3 linked regions of the Canis lupus familiaris genome follow. The protein of the gene in region 2 purifies or fractionates together with the protein of the main gene of each other region. This does not show direct contact. Links are inferred from orthologs where the notes say so. Each region holds a gene or a part of one and is shown on either strand. Other genes may lie near its edges. The genes, in order: EGFR, LRIG1 and ERBB4.

The links.
Region 1: the proteins of LRIG1 (region 2) and EGFR purify together in Homo sapiens (affinity purification with western blotting; 4 studies listed by BioGRID and IntAct, with this or other methods). This does not show direct contact. The link is inferred for Canis lupus familiaris from reciprocal best matches to the Homo sapiens genes LRIG1 and EGFR.
Region 3: the proteins of LRIG1 (region 2) and ERBB4 purify together in Homo sapiens (affinity purification with western blotting; 3 studies listed by BioGRID and IntAct, with this or other methods). This does not show direct contact. The link is inferred for Canis lupus familiaris from reciprocal best matches to the Homo sapiens genes LRIG1 and ERBB4.

Annotation. Positions count from the first base shown.
Region 1 is NC_049239.1:5,959,457-5,963,788, reverse strand, and holds the start of EGFR (epidermal growth factor receptor), read right to left. Parts: upstream 2,945-4,332; 5' UTR 2,930-2,944; coding exon 2,842-2,929; intron 1-2,841. UniProt on the Homo sapiens protein: Receptor tyrosine kinase binding ligands of the EGF family and activating several signaling cascades to convert extracellular cues into appropriate cellular responses.
Region 2 is NC_049241.1:25,160,480-25,163,968, forward strand, and holds the end of LRIG1 (leucine-rich repeats and immunoglobulin-like domains protein 1), read left to right. Parts: intron 1-49; coding exon 50-196; intron 197-802; coding exon 803-1,087; intron 1,088-1,192; coding exon 1,193-1,452; 3' UTR 1,453-2,241; coding exon of another isoform or gene 2,242-2,269; 3' UTR 2,270-2,897; downstream 2,898-3,489. Other genes in the region: SLC25A26 (S-adenosylmethionine mitochondrial carrier protein), read right to left, coding at 2,242-2,269, 3,180-3,346. UniProt on the Homo sapiens protein: Acts as a feedback negative regulator of signaling by receptor tyrosine kinases, through a mechanism that involves enhancement of receptor ubiquitination and accelerated intracellular degradation.
Region 3 is NC_049258.1:18,897,174-18,900,819, reverse strand, and holds part of ERBB4 (receptor tyrosine-protein kinase erbB-4), read left to right. Parts: intron 1-1,657; coding exon 1,658-2,103; 3' UTR 2,104-3,646. UniProt on the Homo sapiens protein: Tyrosine-protein kinase that plays an essential role as cell surface receptor for neuregulins and EGF family members and regulates development of the heart, the central nervous system and the mammary gland, gene transcription, cell proliferation, differentiation, migration and apoptosis.

The sequences.
Region 1 (4,332 bases), on a different chromosome or scaffold from region 2:
ACAGTGGAAGTGTTAGTAGAAACTACTAAGATCACCCTTACCCCTTTTAACTCATAATGTCCAGCACATTCTATGCACTCAATAAATACTCTTTGAATTCTGAGATGGACTCAGGAGCCTGGGGCTGGTAACTGCCACGTCCAGCCTGACACAGAGCTGGAACGAGAAGAGACGTCCCGGCTTCCAGGCCACAACCTACTGGGCTTCCTGACCTCTGAACTCCTGAGAGAAAAGAGGGTAGTGGATCTTCACTTGGGATACAATTCAAAATCCTCTCATTCCCTCCTCTTCAACACAGCCTACTAAATCGAGAATGTCTTCAGAGGAAAAGCTGGGACAGGCCCCCCGCACTCCCCAGAGAACCACCCAGGGTCTCTCTTCTGGAGCAACACCTTTACCTTTCCATTTTGCAAGGGAGAGGGGCTTGCTTAACAATCCGCGAGCAGTGTCCAAGCTCACTGCTGCTCTGGCGACTGAGCTGCCTCCACAGAAGGCAAAGCAACTACTGAGTAAAGGAGCAAGAGTCTAGACCACCCAATAGGTGGATGTTTGTTCCAAGTTTCACACAGAGACCAGTCCTAAGGAGCCCGTTCCCTGGTCCTTTCCTCCGCCTCCCAGCACCTGCCACTAGGTGTTTGCACACACCCGATCTGGCTCTCCTAAAACCAGAACTCACAGGGGGCAGTGGAGCTAGGTGGAGGAGGCAGGACTCGCGGGTGAGAAGGCCTGAGTCTGAACCCTGGCTCTGCTTCTTCCTAAATGTAGAAGTCGCTTTACTTCTCTGGACCTCAGTTCCCCCTTTTAATAAAGCGCGTACTCACCACATATGCCTAATGTAAGGATTAAAAGGACGTGTAAGACAGTGCTTGACAGTACCAAGAGCCATAAGAACAGAAGATACCAAATCTTAGGGAAAAAAGGCTCTCTAAACCGAGTAAATTTGCTTGAACAAAACCGACTGAATTTGCTAAGGGTCCTTAACACCTTTGGTAAAAACATCTCCTTTTATATTTTTAATAATTCATCCTTTGAAATTGGTTTTGTAATGTTACTCTAACAGAATGACATCTGTTCGCCCACCCTCACAATCGTGTCCAGGAGCATTCTGTTTTAAGCAAATACAGGACAGGCAAATTAAGCGGTATTTATACATTTTCTTGGAAACACATCTCCAAGCACTAATAGCAGTGTTCAAAGGGGGAAGAGCAAAGAGCTGCAAACACTTCAGGAGTTTTTAAAACACACACACACACACACAAAGTGATGCTTTGGAGGTGCTCCAAGAGTCAATTTAAATTAAGGAGGGCGGGGGGGGCCCTGTAGCAGAGAGGGAGAGACACCACCTGCCTAAGAGGACCCTGTTGCAGGAGCAGGACCACAGCCTCCAGGGCTCCCCGCAGAGATGAAGGGGAGCCCTTCAGACTCCTTAGAGGATGCAGAGCTTTCCACCAGCTCTGTCGGTGAAAAGACTAATCCCCTATTACTGAAATCACCCTCCACCTCCTCTTTCCTATATTTTGCAAGGTTGTTAACACTCCAGATGTTCCAAAAAAGCTTCTTTACATTAGCAGGTAATCTTTCCAGAGACCTTAGCAGTCTCTCCCCTACACCAGTGATCCCCAAACCTGGCTGCCCAGCGGACCCACCAGAGGAGCTCTCGAAGATCCTGATGCCCAGGTCTCAGATCAGACCAAGGAAATCAGGATGTCTGGGGTGGGGGTGGGGGGCCAGACCTGAGTTTTCGTTTGGTTTGGTTTGAAGATCCCAAGTGATTGTAACCCGCAGCGAAGTTTGGGAACCACACCGGCTTGTGCATTAATGCTGCCCTAACCAACTCACTCAGCGCCGGCCAATGACATCAGCAGCAAGTACAGACCTGACTCTTGGAACCCGGGTTGCTTGATTTTGAAATTGTGTAATTAAGCCTTCGGAGGCATGTTTCTCATGTCAAGTGGGTTTATGGCCGGTAGTCACGAAGCCAAGGCTCGCTCATGTTCAGTCTGGACATTCGGCACCGGTGAGCCACGGACATCAGTCCTTCTTTCAAAAAACATCACCTTCAATATTTCGGTTGGCCCAACGTCAAATTCTTCAAAAAGGCTAAAAGGAACATTCCCCCCCACGAGAGAAGTCTCGGGATCTTGAGAAGGAAAGTGTGCCGTGGGCCTCATTTCCAGAAGCGGAGGGGACCTGAGCAGGACGGGGCTCCGTGCGTCCGGGCGCCGCCGGGAGCCTGGGGACGCACCCCACGGGCTGCAGGTGCCGGCAGGTCCCGGAGGTCCCGGAGGTCCCGGAGGTCAGGGGCGCGCGCGGAGCCCGGTGCGCCCGGCGCGCAGGGGGATGGAGAGCCGGACAAGCGCCGTGGGGCCGCGCGCGGGGGAGCCCAGCGCACCCCCTTGTAGCCGAGGAGGGCAGCCCGCGCCTCCTCCCTCCCGGCAGCCACAGGCAGAGGCACACGCGAGACCCCCCCAGAAGGGTGCGCGCACCCCAGGAGAGGGCCCGCCCCGGCTGGCAAGGTCGGGGTGCAGCGACACCCGGGGGGGGGGTGTGCTCGGGAGGTCCGCGGCCGCGGAGGGGGACCCGGCTCGCCCCGAGCCCCGGGGGCGCGCACCCCGCACCCGAGCGCAGCCGGGCCCCGGGAGGAGGCGCGGGGCGCCCCGCGGCCGCCGAGCCCGGGAAGTTGCGCGCGCTGCAGCCCCGCGGGCCCCGCGCAGGGAGCCTGCCGTCCGGCCGCCTGGGACGCCCCGGCCCGGGAACCCGCGGCCGCTCCTCCTCCCACGGCCCCGGCAGGGGCGCAGCCGGCCCTCCAGGAAGCGGGAAAGGAGGGCGGGAGGCGCTCACCTCTCTTCTCCTCCAGCGCCGGGCTCGCCTGCAAGTGCGCCGCCAGCAGCGCCAGGAGCGCGGCTCCCACGGGCCCCGGGGGGCGCATCGCGGCGGGCGGCGGGCGGCGGGGCCTGAGGTCGCGTCTGCGGGGCGGCGGCCGCGGGACGGGCTCGCGGGGACTCGGGCCGGGGACGGACTCGCGGGGACGCGGGCGTGCGCACCGTGCCGGGGGCGGAGGCTGCGGGCGCGGCGCGGCCCGGACGTCTAGCTCGCGGGGGCGGGGGCGGGGGCGGGGGCCGGGCCGGGCCGGGCCGCCGGGGGAGGGGCCAGGCGGCGGCGGAGGCGGCGGCGGGAGGAGCCGAGCGGCCCAGACGGCGGGCGGCGGCGCCCCGTCCCGGGGACCCGGGGACCCGGGCGTCCCTCCGCCCCCCGTGCCTCCCCCTCCCCCCCGCCCCGTCCCGGGGACCCGGGCGCACCTCCGCCCCCGTGCCTCCCCTTCCCGTGTCTCCCCCTGGCGGAGCAGCGCCCCCCCGCCCCGTCCTGGGGACCCCGGCGCATCTTCGCCCCCGTGCCTTCCCCTCCCATGCCTCCCCCTGGCGGAGCAGCCCCCCCCCCCCCCCCCGCCCCGTCCTGGAGACCCGGCGCATCATTGCCCCCGTGCCTCCCCCTCGCGGAGCAGCACCCCCCGCCCGGCCCTGGGGACCCCCGCGCATCCCCGCCCCCCGTGCCTCCCCCTGGCGGGGCAGCCCCCCTCCCCCCCGCCGCGTCCCGGGGACCCGGGCGCACCTCCGCCCCCCGTGTCTCCCCCTGGCGGAGCAGCCCCCCTCCCCCCCGCCCCGTCCCGGGGACCCGGGCGCCCCTCCGCCCCCCGTGCCTCCCCCTCCCCCCCGTCCCGGGGACCCGTGCGCACCTCCGCCCCCCGTGCCTCCCCCTGGCGGAGCAGCCCCCCCTCCCCCCCGCCCCGTCCCGGGGACCCGGTCGCACCTCCGCCCCCGTGCCTTCCCCTCCCGTGCCTCCCCCTGGCGGAGCAGCCGCCCCCCCCCCCGCCCCGTCCTGGAGACCCGGCGCATCTTCGCCCCCGTGCCTCCCCCTCGCGGAGCAGCACCCCCCGCCCGGCCCTGGGGACCCCCGCGCATCCCCGCCCCCCGTGCCTCCCCCTGGCGGGGCAGCCCCCCTCCCCCCCGCCGCGTCCCGGGGACCCGGGCGCACCTCCGCCCCCCGTGTCTCCCCCTGGCGGAGCAGCCCCCCTCCCCCCCCGCCCCGTCCCGGGGACCCGGGCGCCCCTCCGCCCCCCGTGCCTCCCCCTCCCCCCCGTCCCGGGGACCCGTGCGCACCTCCGCCCCCCGTGCCTCCCCCTGGCGGAGCAGCCCCCCTCCCCCCCGCCCCGTCCCGGGGACCCGGGCGCACCTCCGCCCCCGTGCCTTCCCCTCCCGTGCCTCCCCCTGGCGGAGCAGCCGCCCCCCCCCCCCGCCCCGTCCTGGAGACCCGGCGCATCTTCGCCCCCGTGCC
Region 2 (3,489 bases):
GACTCTGAGGAGTGAGCCCCTCATTTCTAACTGTGGGAATCTACTGCAGGTGTTTGTCCGAGAGACGCAAGCCTCTTTGCAGAGGTGGACGCTCATGGCGTTACGTGCAGGCAGCCCCAGCTCTGCACCGGATGTAACAAGGAGCCGTGGGACGGGATGGAGAAAGCCCAGCGGAGACCTGGTCCGCAGAAGATGGGTAAGAGATGCTCTCATCAGGCAGCCTTCAGTTCTTGAAATTAAAATTCAAGTAGACCTGTTCATTCAGTGAGAGAGATGCATTACCGGTCTAAGTCTAGCTCAGAGTTTGGTATTCAGTGCATAAACAGGAAGCTGTGGCCTGGCTCTTGTAATCTGAAGTAGCATGTCTCCTAAATAAATCTGTGCTGTGGTGAGCCTGGGCTTGAACTTTCCAGATTTATAGGCAAATTAAATAAGGGGCAAGGCCCAAATCAAAGTCTCTTTTCACCAGGGCTGTTTCTGAGACTATTTGTCTAATTATTCCAAAGACTCCTGACACCACAGGGATGTCATGCAGTGGGATTTTTTTTTTCCCCCCTCTGTGATCAGAGCAGTAGGACCACTTTCTCTCATGAAGCAATTAATCTGAAATGCTGAAACATGGAGGGCCCCTTCTTCACTAATGGCTCGGTATCAGCCCAGTCCTTTCTCTGGGCTGATGCAACACTTGGGGGAAGAGGAGAGTTTTCATAGAGTTGGTCTGTGCAGGCCCCTGGAGCTCCCTGTTCCGGGTGGGGATGCAGACCTTGGTGGCCATGGCTCTAATCTGTCTCCGTCCCCGCAGAGCACAGTGGCCCGGCTGCGTGCGGTGACTGTAACACTGACTCGGACGGTTACTCCAAGGAACAAGCTTTCTATCCTCAGCCTGTGACCAGAGATGGCGCACAGCCCGGTACACTAAGCAGCCAGGAGCCCAGTCAGACGGACCGGGAACATTCTCTGCATCATATGACCAGTGGGACTGCTGACAGGTCCCGTGCCGACTGCAAGGGGTCCCTCTATCCCAGTAACCACGACAGAATGCTGACACCCTTGAAGAAAAAGCCAATGGCACCTCCAGATGGGAAAGGTAGATGTTCATGGTCTTCCAAGGAGGCACCTGCAGGTGGGGGCGGGGAGGGGGTCGGTAAGCAGCCGGACGGGAGGCTCTGACATGCCCTCTCCTTTCTCACAGGGGCCTCCTCTTGGACTTTAGCGAGGCTGTGTGAGCCAGACTCCATAGACCTCCAGCCTCCCTCGACATTAACTCCAGGCAGTCCTGAGCTCCCAGAAGCCTCCTCGGGCTTTCCTGACGTCCCCAGTGAAGGCCAGCACTTGCTTCTTTCCAACGGACACCTCCCCCAAGCGTGTGACTCCAGTCCCGAGTCCCTACCGCTGACAGGACAGCTCCCCGGGCAACGGGGCGTACCCCTGCTCTTTGCACCGAAAAGCTAGGCTTTGTCTACCTCAGCTCTTGTGTCCGTCTCTACAGGAAAGAGGTAGGAGAGGCTGTAAGGAAGCTTGAGTTCAAGCGTCACTGATGTGTACAGAGTTTTTAAACTTCCATGTGGAGTGTCCGTGGTCTAAAGGACTTGCAGCTGAAGCACAGAACCGCCAGAGGCTATTGTGTACAAAAGCAGAAAAGTATTTGATACCATTGTACATAAGAGTTTTCAGAGATTTCCTATATATTATATATCTTTTGCAGAGGCTATTTTAATCTTTAGTGCATGGTTAACAGAAAAAAAAGTACAATTTTGACAATATTATTTTTCATATCAGGTTGCTGTTTAATTTTGGAAGGGGGGCAGGGAATAATAGTTCTGGTGCCTTAATGCATGGATGGAAGTTGTAGAAGCTAAAAACCACATTTGCTCCTAGGAGTATCTGGCGGGTGGGGAGGGGAAGTCCTTGGGTTTGTATTGCACTTCATAGGCCAGCCCCGTGGGAGGCTGTACGGCCCGAGCCTTCGTGTGCGTTGGAACTCACTTCCTGTCAGTATTGCTCACGTGTGGCTGCTCTCGCAGCTCCCCTCCCTGCAGAGTCCAGAGATGCCCATGTCGTCCTGTACCTCTGCCATACGTGACTTTCTTGAAAGTTTAAGTTCTTGCCAAGCAGGACGGGGGTGGTTAATCTGCCACGAGGCATTTGTTCCAAGCAATTAAGCACTGCCTGCCTTTCTTCTATGAGAAAAGCAAATGTGGTTGTCATCCGTATCGTTCGATTGTCATTCGAGGCTTTTTATTAAGGTAGAGGCTGCTGGTGTTGGTACCTGTGGATTTTTCAATAGTGATGTTTTAGTTCTGCCAATATAATTAATATGACATTGATCATGGGGGAGAAAAAGGATCGAGTCCTTACTTTTCAGGGCTAGCTTATCTCTACTGAGGATCCGGAGCCTGTCTCTCCACGTCCTTCCCTCCCACCGACAGACCCGGGCTGGGACTGTACAAGCTTAAGAAGCCCTTGACCGGGGCCTATTTGCACTTTGGAGACCTGTAGCTAACCATCTTGTGAGTGCCAATGTGTATTTCAGGAAAAACTGCATTGAAACAAGGTCCTTAAAATCTCAGAAAGCAAGTTCCTTTAGCCAAAAAGCTGAAGGTACAGACTGACAAAATGGTTGTTAAATTTTACTGTCCGGTGTCATCACTGTTCTAAAAGGTAAGCACATTCAGACTTGTGTTCTCAACAGTCAACTGATTAATGTTACTTCCACAAAATATGTGAATTTGCTGCTTCTGAGAGGCAATGTGAAAGAGGAAGTATTACTTTTATGTACAAAGTTATTTATTTATAGAAATTTTGGTACAGTGTACATTGAAAAACATGTAAAATATTGAAGTGTCTAACAAACGGCGTTGAAGTGTCTTTAATAAAGGTTCATTTATAAATGCTGATTGTGTGGCTGGGGCATTCTTCTACCTATGCTGTAAGCGGCACTGTTTCACCCCGTTCTGTTCCAAAAACTCCCTTACATTCTGCCTTTAATTATCTGTTTTCCCAAAAAGGGGAAAATTTCTTCTCGGCAAGCAAAATCATATACTTGTTTGCTCCGGGGAAGATACACCACCCCTGGATTCCTGAGATTTCTAACAAACACCTGGAGCTTATTAGTCAAGCTCTGAAATGGTGACCTCCCCCATTTCGTCCCTTCTAATTTCCAGTACTGCGCAACAGACCTGACCAGGCGTGGAGAAATGGTGCTGTCTCCCCGCTGGCCCAGGCCCCTCCTCTGGGGCTCGCGGGGAGGGGGACTCAGGTCCTCAGTGGGCCCACCACGCCCTCCCAGGCCCTGGGCTGCAACTGCTGGCTCTGTCTCACACCACGTGGGCTGCTGGACACTTCTCTGTAAAATAATACAGTCGTGTTCTTTAGGGGACATCTGAGGGTAATTAGGAACAGCAGCCTGGCTGCCAGAAGAATGCCTGCTTGCACCTGCAGTTCATTGTTTTTAAACGGAGCCCGAAGCTTCACCACAGGGAGACACCC
Region 3 (3,646 bases), on a different chromosome or scaffold from region 2:
TGGAGCATCCCTTGATTTTATCTCTGAATACAAGTTTCTATAGAAGATTATTGTACTCCAGCCTACTTCTCAGAGAGTAGAGAATGTTAGTATAGACCTTCATTACACTTTCAATTAATGAGTTTCAGGAACCTGGTAAGGAAAATCAGATTCTGTCTCCCTTAAAAGTTTGTTTGCATATATTTTTCTTAAAATGTCAATTGCTTTAAACACCATTCAAATTCCAACATGTTATGAAGTGAAAAGTTTTTCCTACCCCTTTAGGGACAATAATTAAAACAGTACAGTAGAACAAGGAAATGGCTCAACAGGAGTTTTAGAACTGAATTCTAGTTCAATACTGCTTGTATCCTTCATACATCATTTAATCTTGGTTCTCTATTTATAAAAGTGAAAAAAAAAATACAGCTTATACTTCCTTTCTCACAGGATTGCTGTGAGGAAGATGTAAGTTCCTGTCATGCCTATGTATGATGGTGGGATAGTAATTACTATCCTTGAACTTGCACATGATGCTAAATACTTAAGTATATCAAAGACCATGGACTAATCACCCTAAGTTGATGCAATTTTTTTCTCTACTTGTCAGGCTATATATAGAGGATAGAAAGTTTGTTTCAGAACGGTGGCATCTCAACAAACAATTATGCCCTTCCCCTGCCCCAACACCAAAATAGGAATAGCTGAAGTGTCATTTCTGTGTAGACATTAAAAGAGAGGACAAAAAGGTCTACTCTGCATGAATAGATGTCTATATATCGTCTATACTATAAACATAGAGAGAATTATATTTGAGAAGAACAGCATTGATAACACCTTTTTAAAAATTGGGTCAATATTCTGTATTAATTTATCAGATCAGATCATGCAAAATAGCCATTATAATGACTGGTGCCAATCTACAAAACAGTTATTTCATATAATTCAAACTAATAATTTGTTATTTTGTGATTATGGTTAGCCATTGGAAGTAAATGCTCTAATTACACTTTATTCTTAGGCATATGTATTGTCGAGCAAGTCAATCTAGTGACATGCTAGATGTCTATCAGATTTTATTAGTTGAGTCTTTTCTTTAGATGTTTCCTTTCCTATATGTAGTGCTTTCTGAAAAACATCTGTAATCAAATCCACTTTACCTATATGGACATCAGAGCAAAACACACAGACTGAAAAACACTATTCCTTCACTTTATCCATTTACCTTGGCATGGAGCTAAGCCATAGACATTTTGATTTTCCAATACCCTTTAAAAAATTCCAATTTCTCCGCATTTAAAAGCTATTTACCCCTGATAGATTGCCTTATTTTTCATCAACAATAAAATACTGACTTTTAGAAAACAGAAGCATTCAAACAAGTGGCCTTCTATGTAGGAGACATAAATGCAATTAGAAGGAAAAAGGAACAATGTAGGGGACAGGAACTAGGGCTTCTGGCCTGCGGTGCTTTGCTAAGTCATTAAAGAGTTTTGGTCCACCTACTCTTTTTTTTCATATGACAAAAGTAATAGACAAAGTAGTTTTTGTAAAAATTCATGAAAACAAATCCATGGCTTTATGATTCTGGAGAAAGAAGCTGACCATCCTGCATTACCTTCTTCTAATTAACATTTTCCAGAAAGTAGATACTAACTGATATTTTTGCATTCCTCAGAATACTTGAACCCTGTGGAGGAGAACCCTTTTGTTTCTCGGAGGAAGAATGGAGACCTTCAAGCTTTGGATAATCCCGAATATCACAATGCTTCCAATGGTCCACCCAAGGCAGAGGATGAGTATGTGAATGAGCCACTGTACCTCAACACCTTTGCCAACGCATTGGGGAATGCCGAATACCTGAAGAACAATGTACTGTCTGTGCCAGAGAAGGCCAAGAAAGCATTCGACAACCCTGACTACTGGAACCACAGCCTGCCACCTCGGAGCACCCTTCAGCACCCAGACTACCTGCAGGAGTACAGCACAAAATATTTTTATAAACAAAATGGACGGATCCGGCCTATTGTGGCAGAGAATCCTGAATACCTCTCTGAGTTCTCGCTGAAGCCAGGCACTGTGCTGCCTCCTCCACCCTACAGACACCGAAATACTGTGGTGTAAGCTCAGCAGTGGCTTTAAGATACAGACACACCCGCTCCAATTTCCCTGCCGCCTCTCTTTCTCTTATGGTCTTCCTTCTATTCCCAAGGCCAGTAGATTTGACACTTCCCAATGGAAGATATAGAGATGCAATGATAGTCATGTGCTTATCTAACTTGAACACTAGAAGGAAGAACTGAAAGAGAAAGACAGGAGGAACCACACTGTTTCTTCATTTCTCTGCATGGGTTGGTCAGGAGACTGGAACAGCTAGAGAAGGGCCAACAAATAAAAGGCAATACTGCCTGCTGTCAAGCTAATTCTCAACGTTTTCTCTTTCTTCTTTCTATTTTTTTTTTTTTAATGCAGATGCCTGAAAGACCCATGCTATCTGTTCCTATCTGTAGGAACTGATGTATGCATTTACACTATCCTTGGAAATTGTAATGAAGTTTCCATTAGAACAAAAGGATAACCTTTTCTATAACAAATGGGAGTAACTGAAATTGAAAATCCAATTTCCTTTTCCAACAGTTTCTATCCTGACAAGCAAGAATGGCCAACTCAGCTTTCATAATTTTTTAATCTCTCTAAAAGTTATAACTAGTAATAATGTTTGGAGGGATTTTTTTTGGTCTTTTTGTTTTGTTTTGTTCTGACAGCTTTGATCTGTCTCTTTATATTACTTTTACCTCCCTATATTTTGACTTTAATTTCTAATTGCAAATATTTTTACATCAAAGTTTCTTATGTGTTGCTATAAATTGACAGAATTGTAAAAAAAATATTTTATTATGGTGAAATGACCATTATTTTAAATATATGGCCTTTAAAATAGAAGGGGAGGCCAAGATATTAGTTAAGTGTAACATCAAATCTAACTCTCATGTTTTACACTATGGAATATGTACCCCCACATCTTTTACATTCTTCAACATTTTCTTCTCCATGAATGACAGTACTTGATAGGCAGTTGGTAGTGTAAAGAGTAAATGGGAAACTAAGAGACAGTTCTATGTGGTTCATGAAAACTACTGACACTTTCAGGGGTGGTCCAATGGGGAATCCATTGAACTGGAAGAGACACTGGATTGGGTATGTCTACCTGGCAGATACTCAGAAATGTAGTTTGCACTTAAGCTATAATTTTATTCGTTCTCTTTCTGAACTCCATTTTGGATTTTGAATGAAGCAATATGGAAGCAACCAGCAAAATAATTTAAGTACATTTTTTAAAAGAGCTAAGATAAGGAAAGACTGTGGAAATGCCAAACCAAGCAAATTAGGACTTTGGAACAGTATCCAAGAGATTATGGTGAGAGGGCCAGCACATTATCAACAAGTGATATCACATTTGCTACGCAAGAAAAGTTATCCAGTTTGTACACTCCATATGAAGGAATGCAAGTAAGGATTGGCTTGACTCCATGGAATTTCTAGTATGAGACTCTATTTATATTAAGTAGAAGGTAACTCTTTGCACATAAATTGGTATAATAAAAAAATACACAAACGTTCACAATTTATAGATAGGTTCTTGGGTCAAAAGTTGTAAATAAACATG